Linked DNA regions of Ovis aries. The protein of the gene in region 1 purifies or fractionates together with the protein of each later gene. This does not show direct contact. Links are inferred from orthologs where the notes say so. Each region holds a gene or a part of one and is shown in the gene's direction. Other genes may lie near its edges.

What was found.
Region 2: the proteins of PKN3 (region 1) and ARHGAP26 purify together in Homo sapiens (affinity purification with mass spectrometry; 3 studies listed by BioGRID and IntAct, with this or other methods). This does not show direct contact. The link is inferred for Ovis aries from reciprocal best matches to the Homo sapiens genes PKN3 and ARHGAP26.

Annotation. Positions count from the first base shown.
Region 1 is NC_056056.1:7,683,796-7,687,295, reverse strand, and holds part of PKN3 (serine/threonine-protein kinase N3), read left to right. Parts: intron 1-468; coding exon 469-615; intron 616-701; coding exon 702-811; intron 812-921; coding exon 922-1,065; intron 1,066-1,489; coding exon 1,490-1,565; intron 1,566-1,641; coding exon 1,642-1,810; intron 1,811-2,006; coding exon 2,007-2,109; intron 2,110-2,218; coding exon 2,219-2,286; intron 2,287-2,604; coding exon 2,605-2,668; intron 2,669-2,798; coding exon 2,799-2,890; intron 2,891-3,269; coding exon 3,270-3,446; intron 3,447-3,500.
Region 2 is NC_056058.1:51,459,780-51,463,906, forward strand, and holds the start of ARHGAP26 (rho GTPase-activating protein 26), read left to right. Parts: upstream 1-1,327; 5' UTR 1,328-1,672; coding exon 1,673-1,826; intron 1,827-4,127. UniProt on the Homo sapiens protein: GTPase-activating protein for RHOA and CDC42. Facilitates mitochondrial quality control by promoting Parkin-mediated recruitment of autophagosomes to damaged mitochondria.

The DNA of each region.
Region 1 (3,500 bases):
CTGCCCTTGGAGGGACAAATCTCTACTGATCCTCAAAATGAACCCACTTGGTTGGCAAAACACAGTGGTACCCACGGCAGGAAGTGGGGCTGAGTTGGCACTCCTTCCCACTATATGGACGGGGAAGCAGGCCCTGGGAAGAGGTAGCTGGCCAGGCACCCTGCTCCTCTGGGGCTTTCGTCCCTGACATGGTGCTCCCTAGGTCCAGAGCCCTGGGCAGCATGCGGACTGAGATCTGAGTCTGACTTCTCTGCCTCTGTGTCCCTGCTTCTTCCCACATGTAGAGGGCTGGCAGGAGGGGGAGGACCAGTTGGTCGGCCCCCAGGGTGGCCCCCAGGTGGCTGCCGAGGCCTAAGGCGAGCAGGCTCTGGGTTTGCTACCTCCATGAGAAGGCAGCATTCCTGGGGTCCCAGCGACCCCTTGGAGGATGGTGTCCGATGATGGCTCCTCCACCACACTCCCCGACAGGGACGCTGCAGGTCCGCCTCCTGGGCTGTGAGCAGCTGCTGATAGCGGTGCCTGGACGTTCCCCCGCGGCCGCGCTGGCTGGGAGCCCCTCCCAAGGCTGGCTTCGGAGCAGAGCCAAGCAGCAGCGTGGTGGAGGCGAGCTAGCTAGTGAGTAGGGGCCCCGGGGAGCTGGGGAGCGTGAAGGTCCCCCCACCACTGCTGGCCTGCCCTGAGCCCCACCTCTGGCCTTGCAGGTGAGGTGCTGGCTGTGCTGAAGGTGGACAATCGCGTTGTGGGCCAGACAGGCTGGGGGCCTGTGGCCAAGCAGTCCTGGGACCAGACCTTTGTTATTGCCCTGGAGCGGGTGAGGCTGCCCTTGTGTGGACTGGGGTGATCGTGGGCAGCGGGGTGGAAAGCTGGATGGGTAGTAGCTGGTGCCAGGCTCCCCTAACTCAATTTGGCCTCCCTGTGTAGGCCCGGGAGCTGGAGATTGGGGTCCACTGGCGGGACTGGAGGCAGCTGTGCGGTGTGGCCTTCCTGAGGCTGGAGGACTTCCTGGACAATGCCTGTCACCAGCTGTCCCTCAGCCTGGTACCACAGGGACTGCTTTTCGCCCAGGTGCCTCCCGGCCCCTGCCCTCTGACCTCACGGGCCCTTGGCTCTGTTAGCTCGAGAGAGGCCTTGGAGACTGTGCCCCCCAACCAACCTACAGCTAGGAGTGGAAATTGAGGCCCTGAGGGAAGAGCTCTCCAGGGATGAAAGATTCCCAGCCGCTCTCTGAGGACTTCACAGGAGAGGAACGGCCTCTCCTTGTCCTGACCGCCCCACCGCATGCACGACCCTGGACAAGTCCCTTTTTCTCCAGGTCTCAGTTTCCCCCTGGTACCAGTGAGGATGCCGAATCCATTCTCTCTGAGTCCCTGTAGCTCTTGCATCTGTTGACAACGGGCTTAGGCTGGGATCCTGGAGGCCGAGGAGGTTCCCGGGACAGGTCGGCAGGTGGGAGGGGACTGGTCTTCAGCCCTGCCCCCTGCCTCCACAGGTGACCTTCTGTGACCCTGTCATTGAGAGGAGGCCCCGACTGCAGAGGCAGAAACGCATTTTCTCAAAACGCAGAGGTATGGAAGGCTGGCGAGCAGGGAGCAGGGCTGGGCCCCTCCGGAGACCTCGAGACTGAGCCTGCTTTTGCCCCAGGTCAGGACTTCCTGAGGGCTTCCCAGATGAACCTCAGCATGGCGGCTTGGGGGCGCCTGGTCATGAGCCTGCTGCCCCCCTGCAGCTCCCCAAGCACCATCAGCCCCCCGAAAACATGCTCCCAGACCCCAGCCACACCCCAGCGGGCCACCGATCCTGACTCGCCCAGGTGAGGGGCCTCGCTCACCCCAGGCTGCCTGCTTCTCTGCGGAGTCACCTCTCTCCAGACTCAGATGGTGCCTGCCCCATGGCTCACCCTTTGACCTGTCTTTCTGTCCCGCGTGGCTGTGTGTCTACCCCTGCCCTCCCTGCCCGCCACTGTTCCAGCTGTCTGTGCCCGGTATATGTCTGCTTCTACCCCACAGTAACTTCCCACCCAAGAAGACCCCCTTGCGAGAAGAGATCCAACCCCCACCCAAGCCCCCTCGCCTCTACCTGGCCCAGGAGCCAACCCCCGAAGAGATGCCGGTGAGGGGGCAGCAGGGCAGGATTGGTCACCCTGGGTGCTGCCCAGGTCGGGTGGCAGGGCTCGAGGGAAGGAAGCCCTGCTCTGCCTTGAGATCCTCTCCCCTCGCAGCGCACCAAACGCCCCCACATGGAGCCCAGGATTCGACGTGAGCTGCCTCTGCCAGCCCCGGCTACCAGGTACCCCAGCAGGCTCACCTCGGTGTTTGAGACATTTTATCCACTCATCTGGGTATTTGCATGTCAGATGTTCACATCTCACCCCAGGCTCCTTGGCTTGCTCTCAGGTTCTCACTCGCTGAACCCACATTATTGAGCTCAGCCTGCCTGCCAGACCCCAGGAAACTGCAGTCCTGGGAACCCTGCCCCACCCCGGGCTCTGCAGCTCCCCACTAGAGGGGGACCACCCAGGATTGAACACAGGGGGTTTGGAGTGACTCCTGGTGGAGGCCCAGCCCTTCGTTGTCCTGGGGGCTTCCTGTACCCTCTCTCTTGCAGGAAACCCCCCCGGCTTCAGGACTTCCGCTGCTTGGCCGTGCTGGGCCGAGGCCACTTTGGGAAGGTAAGGGGCTAAGGGAGTGGGCAGGCCCCAGAACATTTGCTAGAGGGCTCTGGGCTCTGGGGGGCAGTGGGCAGGAGAAGCAGACTCCTCTACTGCCCTCCTGGAGCCCAAACCTCTCTCTGGTCCCCAGGTCCTCTTGGTCCAGTTCAAGGGGACGGGGCAATACTATGCCGTCAAAGCACTGAAGAAGCAGGAGGTGCTGAGCCGGGACGAGATTGAGAGGTGTGTGTTGAGGCTGGGGGGCTCACTGGTGGCTCCAGAAGGCAGCTAAATGCTGCTGGGGCTTCGAAGAAGTGACCCTGTGGGGCCAGCCAGGCCTGGGCTCTTTAATTAGCAACTGCAGTTGTGAACTGTGTGCCCTTGGGCAGGTCTCCTCTCTGTGCACCTCAGGTTCCTCATCTGTGAAATGGGAACAGGGTGGGGGTACAAGTTCGAGACCTGTGCCAGCCCCGGGTACATATGAACCGTCACTCTACCTGCCTGGCAGTTTTAAGAGCCAGTGGCCCAGGGGAGTTGTGTGGGTGGCAGGGCACAGCCAGGGGAGGTCTTAGTTCCCTTTTGGGTTCCCTCTTTGCCTAAAACCCACGCCCTCCTCTTGCAGCCTGTACTGTGAGAAGCGAATCCTCGAGGCCGTGGGCTGCACAGGGCACCCGTTCCTGCTTCCCCTCCTCGCCTGCTTCCAGACCTCCAGCCACGCCTGCTTCGTGACCGAGTTTGCACCCGGCGGTGACCTCATGATGCAGATCCATGAGGACGTCTTCCCTGAGCCCCAGGCCCGGTGGGTCCCCCTCTCACCTCTTCCCACCAGCCTTCCCTGGGCCCCCTGTCCCTG
Region 2 (4,127 bases), on another chromosome or scaffold:
CACTAACCAGTAGCAGACAGGTTCATTCTGTGTTATTCATCTTCGCATCTTTAGTATCTAGTCTAGTGCCTGCACATAGCAGACCTATGTAAAAACAAAAACAAAGACAACCAAACAAACAAAAAACAAGCCACATACACACACACAAAACCACCTAACTGGAGGGCTCCTCCTTCCTAGACATACGAATAATTTATTCAAAGACAGTCCCTTTCCTCTAGCACTTCATAGTTCAGCACTGGACACTGTGGGATCCAGACTGACAGGTGCAGTTAGTGAGCTGCCTGGATTGATTACTGTGGTGGAACCCAAGGGCAATAGGGCAACACATTACAGGAAAGTGGAAAGTGGAGAAAGACACGGGAACGGATCCATTCGTTTATTCCACAAATCCTTATCAATCGCCGTTGCACATATAGCACAAGGGAAGCGCTCAGTATCTGTTACTAGATGCCAGCCACTGTTCTAGGCGTTAGGGATGCCGCAGCGCACAAGAAAGCGGCGGTGGCTCATTTCGTAGTCTTGAAGCTCACAGTATTTATTGCAAAGGACTACAGGCAGTGGACGTAATTATGTAAAATTGTGTGAGGTGCCCAGCAGGAAAACAGGCGGCTGAAATTCTTGAAAGGATGTTAGATCTTTCGGTTGGGGGCAGCCGTGGGCGGGTTTTGAGCAGGAGTGGCCTTGAGGGGGCCGGACTGTAGGGGGCGGGAAGACTGCAGGCCAGAAGAGCTGGTAGTTTTAAGATGTAAGTATGTTTTGCTTGAGTGGAAGAAGGAGCTTGTGTCTAGGGGCGACGTGGTCGCTTGGTACGCTCGGGGTTCTCCTGGGACGTGCGCGAGTGCTAAGTCGCTTCAGTTGTGTCCGACTGGGGAATGCATTTTGAGTGTAAGCACGATTGCCTCAGCCTTAGGGGAACTGCAGCCCTAAATTCCTAGATTTTTCATGTTCGGCACATCTAGGCTCCTCCGCTTCCCAGATATGCAGACGCACCGTCTCCGGCTCGGATCCCGGCCGCTGCGCTGGCCCATTCGGCAGCAATCTTCGTTCCTTCCCGGCTCCGACTGTGCAACCCAGAGCAGACGGGAGAGGGCGGAGCTTGTGCTGCGGACCTAGGCGGTGGCGTGGGCCACGCCCCCGACTTAGACCCCGCCTCTGGACCCCGTTGATTGGGTTATGGTCGCGGAAGGGCCGGGCATCCTCGGAAGGCCCGTGGGTAGGGCTGAGACGGGGTTCTGATTGGCTTGGCTGGGATTAGGTCATTGCTAGCAGGTTCGTCCGGCTCGGACGCCGGCTGGGCGGCCGAGGCTGCTGTGAGAGGGCGCTCGAAGCTGCAGGAGAGCGAACTGGCGAGGGAGGCGGGCAGGCGGCTGCTGCACTCGCTCGACTGGTCGTTCCCTTCCCGTCGCCGCTGCGGGTCCTCAGCTGCTCTTCCTGCTCCGCGCCCTCTCGGTTACACGCCGTTGGAGCAGACGCTCTTCGTTCGCCTCCAGGCTCTGTTCAGGAATCGTGCGCGCCCGCGGACACCGCGCTGAGACCGAGCCGGCGCCACACCTGTGGAGCCGGCGGCCGTCGGGGGTGCCGGCCAGGGTCTCGCCGCGTGCGTGCTCCGGGCTGCGGGCCGCCGGAGCCCTGGGGGAGGCGCGCCCCCCGGCTGGGCGCCGCGGACACCATGGGGCTGCCCGCGCTCGAATTCAGTGACTGCTGCCTCGACAGCCCTCACTTCCGAGAGACGCTGAAGTCGCACGAAGCGGAGCTGGACAAGACCAACAAATTCATCAAGGAGCTCATCAAGGACGGGAAGTCACTCATCAGCGCGCTCAAGAGTGAGTGCCCGGGAGCCTGGCGGGGACGGTGCTCCGGGGCGGGAGGGGCCGTCGGGCGGCGCTCAGACCTAGGGGTCCCGCGCCCGGCTGGATTTCTGCCCCCGGGCGCTGAGGGACGGGCGTAGACCTTTGTCGCGAAGCGGAAAGGATACGTAAAATGGGCGAGCTAGCAACAAGACAGTGAAGGCAGAGACCCGTCACCCGGCCGTTTGCGTTCCGAGGGGACTGGGAGGTGACCGAGCGCGAGTAGCGCTCTGGGGCGCCGCGGGTGGGTGTGCGCGTCACACAGGTGTCTCAGGAGTGGGACTGGAGTGCCTGGAGCACCGTAGCATATTGGGAAACCCCTTCGCGTCCACGACTCCGGCTTCCTTGGGGGAGAGTTGCTCACCCCTGAGTGCCCAGCCGTGGGAATGGAGCGTGCCCTGCCAAGGGGGCGCTGCCTCCCCTCAGGAAAAGGCGGGTTGTGCCTGCTTCACTCCCGCCTGCTCAGGGCCGCCGGGGTCTCCGAGAGATCTCCTTCCCTTCCCAGAAAAGGGCTGGGTAGGGTGGTTGGTCAGCTCGCGATTCTTTGGAATAGTGGCAGCTTTTAACCCACCAGATCTAGAATCAGGGCCACGTACGTGTGCAGGTTCTGATTCTTGTGTTTAGCAGAAGGTGATAGGGGTGGGAGTACAGAATCAGAGTGTTCCTTTACTCTAAACTGTGGGCGAGGGTTTAAAAATAGAACGAACATATCCTCTCCCTCTCTCGCTCCCTCACTCTGCTTTTTTTACCTCTCCCAATATCCTTGAAAACTCAAAGGTTTGGGAAGGAATGTCCTCGATCTTCGCTCAGAAAGAAGTTTAAACTTATCCTTAGAGATTTTCGAACCTTTTGCAAAACCATTTTTGCAAATTTCCCTTTGGCAGGGGAGAAATGAAATTTACATTCTGTGTATGATTTCCCTTGTCATTTGCAGAGCCAGAGAGTGTCTCCTTCTGGCCAAACGAGTGCTCTAGGGATGGATGCCTTGGATTGCTGAGCTCCTTTTTTTGGGTGCCTTTCCTGTCTACCCATTTAAGAATAATTTGGTCCATCTTTTATTTTTAAGAATCAGAAATAACATAAAGGCAGATAGTGGAATTGTCTTTCACTTGACTTTTCCTTTCTCTTTGCTGCATTTCTTAATAGGTGATATCTTTCAACTAGGAAAGCTTGTCTTGGCAGAGTGCAGCCGTGGGCCTGAGAATTGTCACCAAGTCTCTTTGAAGGAGACTTAAAGTCAAGTGCCTGAGATGTCATTTTGTGAGCCTGTTGTTTCTAAAGATGAAGAAGACAGAGGAGCCCCAGGGCAGCAAGTGGTAGTCTTTTGAGGTGAAATAAAAGTAGAACTTTGGTGTGCTGAGGCTCTTCAGAGGCAGGGTCTCTGTTGGAGGTTGTGACCAGAAGCAAATGAATAGACTCTTCTTTTGTTGATGACCAGGGCCGTCCTTAGAATATGTGACCCCTAGTTTGGACTAAGTTAGGGGCTCACTTACAGGTTGGGCCCACACATTTTGTTTGAATCTCAGACTGGCTTTAATTGGGCCTCTGCTTTATTCAGCAAACATCTGGAGTGCCTGCTGTGTGCTCGATATTACCCTGGGCACTGAGGATGTAGTAGTGACTGTTCTGTTGTTCCTGTGGCTGTGGAGACTTACTCCAAACTAGGCACTGCTTCACCCACAAATTATCTCACGTATTATAACTCATCTTTCAAATGAGAAAGCAGGCTTGAAAGAATCACTGGCTGAGAGTCTCACCGCTCTAAGAGCAGGGCTGTTTTTGTCTCCCGCAGGGTCTGAGCCAGAGATGAAGTTCCTGCTGATGTTGAGCTCTTAATTCTGTCTCATTCCTCTTGCCCAGAATGGAGCCCCTGGTCCGAGAGTGTTGGAATTTGGACTTGCATTTTGTATCTTAGCCTTGAGTCTGAGGAAGATGCCTTTATGTGATTGGCAGTTTATCTGCTTGCCACTATTTTTAAGGTGTGTATGGGGGAGGAACTTAAGAATTCTTTGGGTAGGAGGAAACAGTACAGGTGATAAAGAGTTTTTTAAATTGTCTAATGAATGGACCAGCTCTATAACTTGGGGGAGAGCTAGGTGTTCTAATCTCTTAATATCTAGCTCTATTACTAACTATTCTCTTCTACTCTTATTAGTGCTTGAACAGGTGCCACATGCCCTCTTAAAGAGGGTGGAGAGGATTATTAATTCCTGAACTTCAGGCATTGTGTTATCATTGGGTCCTTCTTGCATGGTATATTACTATGCTAGTATATGT